2 linked regions of the Coturnix japonica genome follow. The main gene of each other region encodes a partner of the protein of the gene in region 2 in a complex. Links are inferred from orthologs where the notes say so. Each region holds a gene or a part of one and is shown on either strand. Other genes may lie near its edges.

Region 1 (5,231 bases), on a different chromosome or scaffold from region 2:
GTTGGATGCGATGCATTCCTTGTTGCAATGTGATTATTGAGGTTCTTGGGTTCGGCTGTACTGTTTGTGTGTTTGTAATGCAAAACTGAGCTTTTAAACACTTTGTGAGTATGAACTGGAATGTTTGGAATGTTGGAGACTGGGTAACTCAGGTTTGCTTTGTTGCTCTAGGTGAAATTTGGCCGCCGCTGGACAAAAATTGCCAAGTTGATTGGGAGTCGTACTGTTCTACAAGTGAAGAGCTATGCCAGGCAGTACTTTAAGAACAAGGTAAACAGAATATTTCAAGTATTGTTGTCAAGTTAGTTTGCTTTGTATGATTTTGGTATTTTTATTGCTTTGTCAGCCTAACACCTCCCTCTGAACGTCTGTCTGCTGGTCAAGTAAAATAGTTCTGATTGTCTGGGAAGCAGTTTTTTTCCTCTTTTTAATGTATCTTATGCTTTCCTAGGCAAAAAATGATGGTTCTGAAAGAGAAGAGCAAAGTCAGTGTGGTGGCAGCCTTCCGTCTGAGGATGGAGTAAGGGTAGAAGCATGGTCAGCTGGAAGCTTGAGAGGCCGTGCAGACCCTAACCTGAATGCAGTGAAAATTGAAAAGCTGTCAGATGATGAAGAAGTAGATATAACTGATGACATGGATGAACTCTTTTCTCCTGCTTGCCAGCAAGATGTTGGAAAATCCGAATTATCTGCAATTTCAGAAAGTCCAGCTGAAGAAACAAAAGGAGCAGAGCATCCTTTACCAAATGTCGGACATAGTTCTGCTGTTTCTTTGCTGGAAGAAGACCCTCAGAATACTAAGCAACCCACAGTGAACACGTTACTGTTTCAGGATGTTGCAGCAACATGTTCTCAGCACGTGAATGGTGATAAACCTGTAAACTTGGATTACCAGCAGTGCAGTGATTTTATAGAGAAAGCTGGACAGGGTGGAACAGGAGCATCTCATGGTGCTTGGGAAACAACTGACCAGGAGCTTAATGAGGAACAGAGAGACCTGGCTGATAATGGGCTGCTTTTTCATCCCACCTGCCAAGTGGATGAAGATCATCAAGAAGAAGCAGAAGCTCTTAAGCCACCTGATCAAGAAGTGGAGATTGATAGAAGCATCATTCTGGACGAAGAGAAGCAAGCTATTCCTGAGTTCTTTGAAGGGCGCCAGGCCAAAACACCAGAGCGTTACTTGAAGATTAGGAATTACATTTTGGATCAGTGGTAAGATATATTCGTTTTCCTTCTTTCATTAAGTCATTAAAATCTCTCTTGCCCTGCTTTGCTGTAGTAAAAACAGCACAAACAGGTTTTGTAAAGAGTAGAAGTAATTTTGCAGTAATATCCTAAAGAAGCAACGAATGGCACTGAGTGGTGGTGCTTCTTTCACCTCTTCGCAGTTCTGGCCTTCTGGAAGCTGAGCAGTGAAGGTGCTTTTTGAAGCGTTATGGAAGTTTTTGTCCTATATATATCAGAATAAACCCCTTCTGGTTTTATTGTGCTTCTTTTCTTCTGTCTTTGTCATAAACTATATAAGAATCCTGAGATATTCTTGATAAATGTCTCTTCAAAAAACTTTAATTCTTTATTGATAGCTGTGGTAGTGCCCATGCAGTAGAGCAGCTGGAACAAACATTCTGCACTAGAGAAAATAATGTTGACCTAACGGTATTTCACATAAAGAATCAATGTTGAGCCGTGCTTGTACATCTGAATATTCTATATTCCATCTCCAAAAATTCAGTTTAAAGAACCTTTAATGTTTGTGGTTGCAGGCTGAACATCTGGTTTGTTGCAGTTGTGGTTTATGTGCTCGTTGGCTGGGTTACTTTACTTCTTAGTAGGAAGAATTAGCAAATTTTAGTGGGTTCTCACTGAGTGGTCTCTGTGCTAACAGCTTATTCTGGCAACAAAGAAACTCTGACATTGCATATTGGAAAGGTATTAAGCTCAAATAACTCAGTATCAGCTTAAGAGCAAGTGGAGTGAAAGCAGGCTTGTTTGTTACACTGAGGATGCATATGATTATGAGTTATTCAGAGGAATCTAATGCAGACATTCTGAGTTCAGTTTAAAAGAATCACAGTATTTCAGAGTAATTCAGTGCTTCCTGGCATATCATGTAGAAGAGTTTGTTTTAAGGCATGGAACATGAGCTTCACACTGCATGACTGTGAGTGTGTATGAATAACCCTAAAATAAATTGCATATACTTTGTGAAACCTGTGTTTTTGCTGTGGTTGCTCTGCACAGCAGTGTGTAGTGTTTGCATCGGGCTAAAACACTTTACTGTCTCATCTCCATCTGCGCAGTGACTTGTTTTCTATTGTATGATGTGTTGTTCTGTTTTATTGTAGGGAGAGATGTAAACCCAAATACCTGAATAAGACCTCAGTACGTCCGGGCCTTAAGAACTGTGGGGATGTTAACTGTATTGGACGTATCCACACGTACTTGGAATTAATAGGAGCAATTAACTTTGGCTGTGGTAAAATAAATAAATAAATACTTTTATTAGAAGTTGATTTCGAACTTAAATTTTAGTCAGTGTGTGCTGAGACCAGCTAATGGTCGTCAGCTCTTTTATTAGAATGAATATGTTCATGTGAAGAATGGATGTGTTTCTTTTCCTGCTTCCCCATATTGAACCATAAGCATTTGGTAAATCAAACAGTCTAAACCCTCAAGGCTGCCCTTTTTATTTTGACATCATACAAATGTTGAAATTAATGAAATAAAGAATAATGACTATGTAATCGCTTATCAAGATGACCTGAAGCACAGTGTATGTCTCTTCTATTTCCTGTAGAACAGGCTGTCTATAACAGACCACAACCAGCTGATAAAACACGGTCCAAGGAAGGCAAAGACACGGTGGAAGCCTACCAGCTTGCTCAGCGTTTGCAGTCCATGGTACGTTTTGGAGGTCAGGGGGAAGAGAGCGGGGTGGTGAAAAAGTGACATGCAGGTGTTTTCAAGCCAGGCCATCTCAGGAAACTCCTTCTCTTGTTCAGTTTGCAGTTTCATTCGAGTGCCCTTCAGTTCAGGTATCAGTTTAAGCAGTATTGGATTTTTACTGGTATCTGTTTTATTCTATTCTCTTGCACGTTAATTGCCCAGCTACTTAACTGAGATTTATTATGGTCTTTTTTCCTAGAATCCCAACCCCTTCCTCCCCAGCACCCCATCATCTATTAGTCCAAATTAGTCAGAAAACAGCGGAGTGTATCAATAGAGTGAGGTTAAGTTGCTTGTGTTATAATCATTAAGTATACTGGGTATGTGATATGACTTACTGAGAGTCTTACGCGTGCAATTAAGTACAGTAGTAACTCATTCATAATTAGATGAATTACCAAGGTTTGCCAGATTAATGTTCATGTTTACATTTAATGTAGCATTTTGAAGTACTTCATGGTAAAATAAGTCGGTTGATGAGAGGAAAACAAGATCAATCCCATTAAAAGAAAAAAAGCTTCATATGAAGAGCAGTAGCTTACACAGGGCACACACATACTGGCTGATGGCTTTTGCATTGTCTGTGCTATAATTCACAGTTGGATAATAGTTTGCTGTTGCTCTCAGGGATGCTGATGTTCTACAGAACATCATCCTGGTGTTCTTTACAACCTTAAGAACCTGAAAACATCACTGGTGGTATTTGGTGACAGATTGTGAATTACTCAATCCTGTAGAACTCCAGGGGGTTTTCTCTTTTCTGGATGTATGTTACAGTGTTGGGAAAGCTCATGTGGCAGTAATCTTTTGGATGATGTTCTTCCAGCCGATGAAACACAGCAAAGGCTGTTTTTTGCACGAGTTTGATCCTTGATTTGTGTTGATTTTATTTTTGCAGCGTACAAGAAGACGGCGAGTCCGAGACCCCTGGGGAAACTGGTGTGATGCAAAGGATTTGGAAGGGCAGACGTTTGAGGTAACCTGGTCTTGAACATTCGTTTACATATGTGATTATTGATAATTGCTAGCAGGTGGGATTGCTTGCTGTTACAATAAATCCTGCAGCTGTTACATCTGCTGATAAATGACTGTACTTTGGTGTTTGCAAAAGGTGTTTGTGCTGTGAGCATGGATGGATCTACACAGCTCTACACCTACAAAGCTCTTTGCCTCATCTTGTATAAAACTTCAGGAGCCTTTATTTTTAGTTATAGAAAAATCCCTGAAAACGTGCTATAAAAATTGTGGCCACTGATTGCAGTGGAAGATTTTATCCTTAATCGATGAACTTGCATTTACGCATACTTTGATACTGCACCATAATCCTATAAGACAGCAACTGGGGGTATATAAGGAGGGTAGTGATGTCAAGGATTCATTCAAGATGTTGAGACAGACTTTTGCAATTGATTTTTAGCATCTGTCTGCTGAAGAATTAGCAAGAAGAAGAGAAGAAGAAAAACTGAAGCCTGCAAAACCTTCTAAAGGTTCAAGACAAATAAAAAGGTATTTGATGTACATCCTGTTCCAAAATGGGTCTTCTAGAAATAAAACAATTGGTTTGCATGGCATCGGGCTGGAACGCTTCAAATTAGTACTAGGTATCGTGGGCAGAGTTAACATGTGGCATTTCGGATGTTTAATGCTGCAATTCAAAAGTGTGGGAGGTGAACTTCTGTATTTGGTGGGAGTATGAGATGAAAGGCATGCAGTGAAGAAATCCTCTTCTTCTTGTACTGAGGAGACAGTGGGAAACTAGGAAAGTTTCCTGACTGTCCTACATCTTTAGAGAAATTCTCTTTCGTTTTATAGTTCCTTTGATCCCTTTCAGCTGATACCGTGCTGTTTATTCACTGAAGAAAAGCAGGTATGTATCCGAGTGAATATCAATAATGCTTTATTTAGTTACGTTGCTTTCATTATACTCATAGTGGTGTTTGTGATTTCAGGAACCCTTTCAGGTGAAAGTGTCTTCAGAAGCACTTTTAATAATGGATTTGGTGAGGATGAAGTTTTATCTTTCAGAAAGCTATGATGTATCTGTTGGGGGGTTGTTTTTATGGGTGGCATGGTTAGATTTAGCAATGCAGTATGTAGTTCTTGTAGTTTTTGAATGCTGTGGGATTTTTGAAGTTAACACTTCCATCCATTAAGCAATTCTATACAGCTGCATTATAAACATGCATGTGTGTAACAAGTAAACATGATATTTTGGTTTACTTTCAATTAAAACCTTGTCTATTTGAGCATCTTTAGCTGTCCCAGGTTCTCCTTATAAATGT
Region 2 (5,231 bases):
AGTAGGAATTAAAATTTTTTTTTTTCTTTTTTTCTTTTATGATAGTAATGTAGGTGGTGGAAAGCACTGCTAAAATGAAAAAATAAAGCTGTGCCTCCAAAGCCATTAAAATCTCTGGTCTGCAACACATGTAGGCAAATCCATTACTATTTATGCCTTAGTATACCGTAGCATAGATTTTATATCTGCTTATTTGATGTTGTCATTTCTGCTTTAAAAAAAAAAAGAAAAAAAGAGAGAAATCATTGACAGCTCAATTTTTGTATAAAACATGGCTTGGGAAAGGAGCAGGGTTTGTTAGTTTCTTAAGGTTTTTCCAGCAGAGGATGTGAAATATACACAATGTGATTGTGTTCCTCTTTCGTACAGACCAACTTCCTCTCAGCACATTCTGCTCGGGATGAGGCAGCAAGACTGGAGGAGCGCAGGGGGGTAATTGAATTCCACGTGGTTGGGAACTCCCTGAACCAGAAGCCAAACAAGAAGATCATGATGTGGCTGGTTGGTTTGCAGAATGTGTTCTCCCATCAGCTCCCTCGGATGCCAAAGGAGTACATCACACGCTTGGTTTTTGATCCGTGAGTATGGCTGGAGAGGAGTTTCATGATTGGGATGAAGAGAGCACATTGCTTGTTGCAGACAGTGATTTTAGAATGGGCCAGCCCAGATACTGTAGAGAGGAACTCTACCCCTGCTACCCTTATGTTATTCTTATGAATGTTAGAACCAAAATTCTGAAAATAATTCTGGTGTTCATTAGTGGCCTCTGGGCCCATACTAACTTGCAGACTGCTCTATCCTCTGTTTTTGGAGTTTGAAAACCAAATGGCAGCAGAGATTGAAGGCTTTTCAGTGAGAAGAACTTGCAGAATTTATGAAGAATAGCATCTAAGTCAACATGGGGAGAATGCTTAAAATCACTGCTCACAGGAGTACATTGCCTTTCTCTTTATACGTGCACGTTTCCTGCCTTGCTTTAGGTACAAATCTACACCACAGGCACTTTTAAAGAGATATATTTGCTATAGCAACATCCACAGGTTGCATGTTGTCTTCATCCACCCTAGTGAACTGATGAATTGTGTTTAAGCAGGAGAAAAAGGGTTTTCTCTACATTCATGGATATTTACGCTCTGCCCATTCTGACTTTTGTCTTCTGCTTAGCTGTTCTATTACACGGATGTTTTTCTTCTGTTTACAGCACTCATTGCCTTTAGAGTTTCAAGGCTGTCAGGTGTCAATCTTCTTATTGATCAATACATTAAGACAATTTGTTGCCCTGACATTTTCTTTACCTTTTGCTCAGAAGTGTCTATTTTTAGACTGTTGCACTTCTTACAGAGTCTACTTCCAACCAATGTGCTTTCCCCAGATTTCTGCCTGTGTACAACCCATGTCCATTGAAGATTTAGGGGTCTACAATATTAACTGCAGCACTTCACAGTGTAGTGTGCTTGTGGACTCTTTGCTACATGTCAGTAGATACCACAAATGGAGCTTTGCTTGAGCTGATCTAGATGTCTGCCTAGCCTGGTTAGTGGTAGAGCCTACCTCCACCACCAGTGATATGAGCCACTGTCTTCATGTCTGCTATTATTGCTGTAGCAGTTAGGAAAACACTTCTGGAATGATTTCCTCTGCTTTTAGACTTGCTAGCACTTCCCTCTGCACTACTTTCTCAGTGCCAGCAAGCTCTGCTGCTGCATGCTCTGTGCAATCTCTGAAGCTCAGGCCACCCAGTTCTGGGACAAGCGGACAAAACTTCAGTCTCCAAGCACAGGAGACCAACCGTGGAACTTTTTCCTGTGTTCTTCAGAAGGGACCAGCAAGGTTCTTGTGAGGACCAGCACGAGTCTGGACTCTTTTTCTTCTCCTATGAGAGGGTAAATGCTGCTCGATTTGGAGGGAGAGGCAGCACTGAGAAATTTTCTGAAGTTTGGTGTCTTAGCAGCACTGTGAACTCAAGCAGAAGCTACTGGTTGAAGTTCAGGTTTCACAATAACCAAACATCTGAGTAAATTTTGAAGCAGTAGTCTTGTGCCATAGCCTCCTCCCACATTTCTCTAGGCCCTTCTTTATTAGCAAAGACTCTTCTAATAAGTTGATAGGAAAAAGTGCAGTCTAACTGTTCTCTTCCAAAGACTTTTCAGCCATTAATATAATTATGATCTATTTTGTTCTTATTTCCAAAGTGGTCATCCTTAGTAAATCTTTTTCCAACAAGAGAACAAACAATTTTGTTTTGAAGAAACAAAATTAAAAACACAAGCTACTATACACTGCTGTCTTTCTACAAATTAAAAATACTAAAATAAAGAAAAAAAAAAAAAGAATATGTACAATATATAAATTCTACTTCAACACTAACATTTAAAATACTTTTCAGACTGACCTTTTTTTGGAAGAGGCTCATTTTGGCACCAACTTTCCTTCACATCAAAGACATCTTCTCTGAATTTACAGTACTGTTTATACAGTTTATATTATACTGTGTACTGAATAAGCTAGAGAACAGCTGCATTGTAAATCTTTCCAGACCTTGAGGATGATGCTAAAATTTTGGTGCTTGATGTGAGAGTTCAGATTGCACCTTGCTTTATCTTTCCCGGCAGTCAGTGCAAGTGCAACAGAAATGGATATTTATTCTGGTCTCCATTTTACTAGGAATTAGATTAGAAATATGAAATATCATTTATTGCTTGATCAGCTGTGTTGGAAACTGATAGCACAGCTATTCAGAGTACATGCAAGGAAACAGGAATCCCTTAGGAAGGACTTGCTGTCCTGTAACTCCATTAATTTCTAATTTAGGCAGGCTAAGATCATACTGAGAACTATGCAATGGCACAACTGTCAGTAATATAGTCAACAAAAGTAATATAAATCTTATTAATAGAAGTACTCTAGTATGTAGGAGTACTTGGCAAGGCTAGGACATGCTGCATAATGATGAATTTTATGGTAAACTCAAAGCATGATGTTAAGAAAAACTCTTCGGTAGGTACAGATATCTTAACAGAGGCATATACAATTGCAGTGGCACCATGGAAAGAAGTGAATCAAGTTTCTGAAAAAAGGAAAGTAATGGCACATTATGTACTATGTACATGAATTAAAATGAATGTTATTTTTGTCTACTCAGGAAACACAAGACTCTTGCATTAATAAAAGATGGTCGTGTTATTGGTGGTATCTGCTTCCGAATGTTCCCTTCCCAAGGATTTACAGAGATCGTTTTCTGTGCTGTGACTTCCAATGAGCAAGTCAAGGTAAAATTAACTCTCCACTAGAGTTTATTAAATGCATATGAATTCCATTTACCACCGTATATACTCCTAATTTTGTGGTCTCATTGAATATATTGTGCTACCAAACAGAAATCAAATTTGATAGATACAGTGATTCTGAATGTACCATAGAAAACCTAAATAATAGGACAGATTTAAAATCATCAGAATAATAGTGGGACTATTTTTCTAAGAAAAAAGACACATTCCTCAACACAAAAATAATGGTAATTTTTCTTCCACTCTTGGATTATTCACCCTTTTCTTCAGCAACTGCCTTTCAGTGTGGCATAACGCATCATGGTTGGCTGAATTAAGTGTAGCTTACATGTGTTTGTAATATATGCTCAGTCTCTTTGTGATGTTAAACAGCTTCAATGAAAATTAGTTATATCGAATAAATTAGGTATAGTTTCACAACTCAAAATAAGCATACACTGTTTTGCATACTTATTTTTGAGTACAGTGTGCATAATGTTCTCAGTGTTGATCTGTAATGTTGAGAGAATGTAAAGCACTATAAATATACAGGAGATTCTGCTCTTCTTCTCCAGGATTACAGGTAAATCTAAGTGGGAGTATTTAGTTCAGGATATTGCCTTTAGATGGTGCTGTAGCTATATGTTTTTCAGTTGAAATTGTTAATGCTGAGATGTGGGTTAATTTAGAGTTTCTAGAAGATGAACAAGCAGAAACTGTGTGAAAGCCTGTGACAACTTTTAGTACTTGAATTATATTTGAATTTATGAGACTCTGAATTCATAAGGTTAACATTTCCATGGACACAGTAGTATATAAAAAAAGCACTCAAAGTGTTTTATATGAACAGTAACAGAGCTTGCTGTTGGTATGTTTATTCTATGTCTATATAATTCATAAAAGGTGTTTTAATTAAACTGAAGCATTCAAATGTGCTACAGGAGTTGCAAATATTTGTTGTGATTCTCAATTAACCTTTCCAACTTGGACTCCTCACGTTGCCTTACTGGGGTTGCACACATAAAGCACACTTTCTTCTGTTACCCTTCGGGTGTCTCAATATTTGCAGAGTTCAGTTGACTATTTCTTAATTTTGGCCTTCCCACATTCCTTTCTAAGTAAGATGACCCCTAGCAGCAGATAAGTGAGAAAGAACAAATGTTCACACAGGGATATCACTGCAAACTCTTGGGAAAAATAAACATGTTTTAATTCAGTTTGAGGCTGGAGTAAGAAATATGGAAATATGGATACTGTTTTGTGTGTGATCTTTAAAAGTTAATTTGGTTTTGAGATAGATTGATGTTATATTATAAAATTATTTTAAATTGTATCGTACGTGACTTTGTTTCTCTTTAGTATAGTTGGACTTTGGCAAGCATTTGTGAGAACAAATAAATCCCGGGGAGGTTATAAAAATAATAAATCAACTAAAAATATTTGAGCTAATTATCATTGTAATTTCTGGAGTTTCTTAGAGGCAAGAAGATGAAAATTAGTGCTAGAGATTAGCTACTTTGGGATTTCTGGAATGAATTGCAATGTTTCAAGTTGTAAGTAAAATGTCTCACACAGTTTCTTGCACCCTGTTGATGAGAAGGGAAGTGAAAAGCTTGGGTGGCTTATGCACTTCTTGCATTTAATTAAAACATTTTTCTTTAAAATTTATGAGACTTTCTGTCCTTTGCTGAGTTATGAAATTTGCAATTATCTCGTTATTTTGAGCACTTCTCAGTTCTAAGAAATGCTGTGCCACTTAACATGCTATCAGCTGTAAAACTGCTTTGTAACTTATGCCATGCACAATACCTGCCACTTTAACAAGTGAATATTCTGCTCTAAGAGCTTCCTCAAATTCAGAAGTATTTATTTTTACATACACAATATCTTCATTTTAAATATGAGGTCTGAATGAGAAATGCTCTAAACAATATCAGGAAAGGAAGATAAATGCACTAATTTTGT

Evidence for each region. The genes of interacting proteins can lie anywhere in the genome.
Region 1: KAT2B (region 2) and MYSM1 share a complex: the UniProt entries of both Homo sapiens proteins name them as parts of the large chromatin remodeling complex. The link is inferred for Coturnix japonica from reciprocal best matches to the Homo sapiens genes KAT2B and MYSM1.

What each region holds. Positions count from the first base shown.
Region 1 is NC_029523.1:23,571,173-23,576,403, reverse strand, and holds part of MYSM1 (histone H2A deubiquitinase MYSM1), read left to right. Parts: intron 1-171; coding exon 172-270; intron 271-451; coding exon 452-1,215; intron 1,216-2,348; coding exon 2,349-2,479; intron 2,480-2,800; coding exon 2,801-2,904; intron 2,905-3,847; coding exon 3,848-3,925; intron 3,926-4,366; coding exon 4,367-4,455; intron 4,456-4,761; coding exon 4,762-4,816; intron 4,817-4,898; coding exon 4,899-4,949; intron 4,950-5,231. UniProt on the Homo sapiens protein: Metalloprotease with deubiquitinase activity that plays important regulator roles in hematopoietic stem cell function, blood cell production and immune response.
Region 2 is NC_029517.1:32,877,485-32,882,715, forward strand, and holds part of KAT2B (histone acetyltransferase KAT2B), read left to right. Parts: intron 1-369; coding exon 370-578; intron 579-3,142; coding exon 3,143-3,269; intron 3,270-5,231. UniProt on the Homo sapiens protein: Functions as a histone acetyltransferase (HAT) to promote transcriptional activation. Has significant histone acetyltransferase activity with core histones (H3 and H4), and also with nucleosome core particles.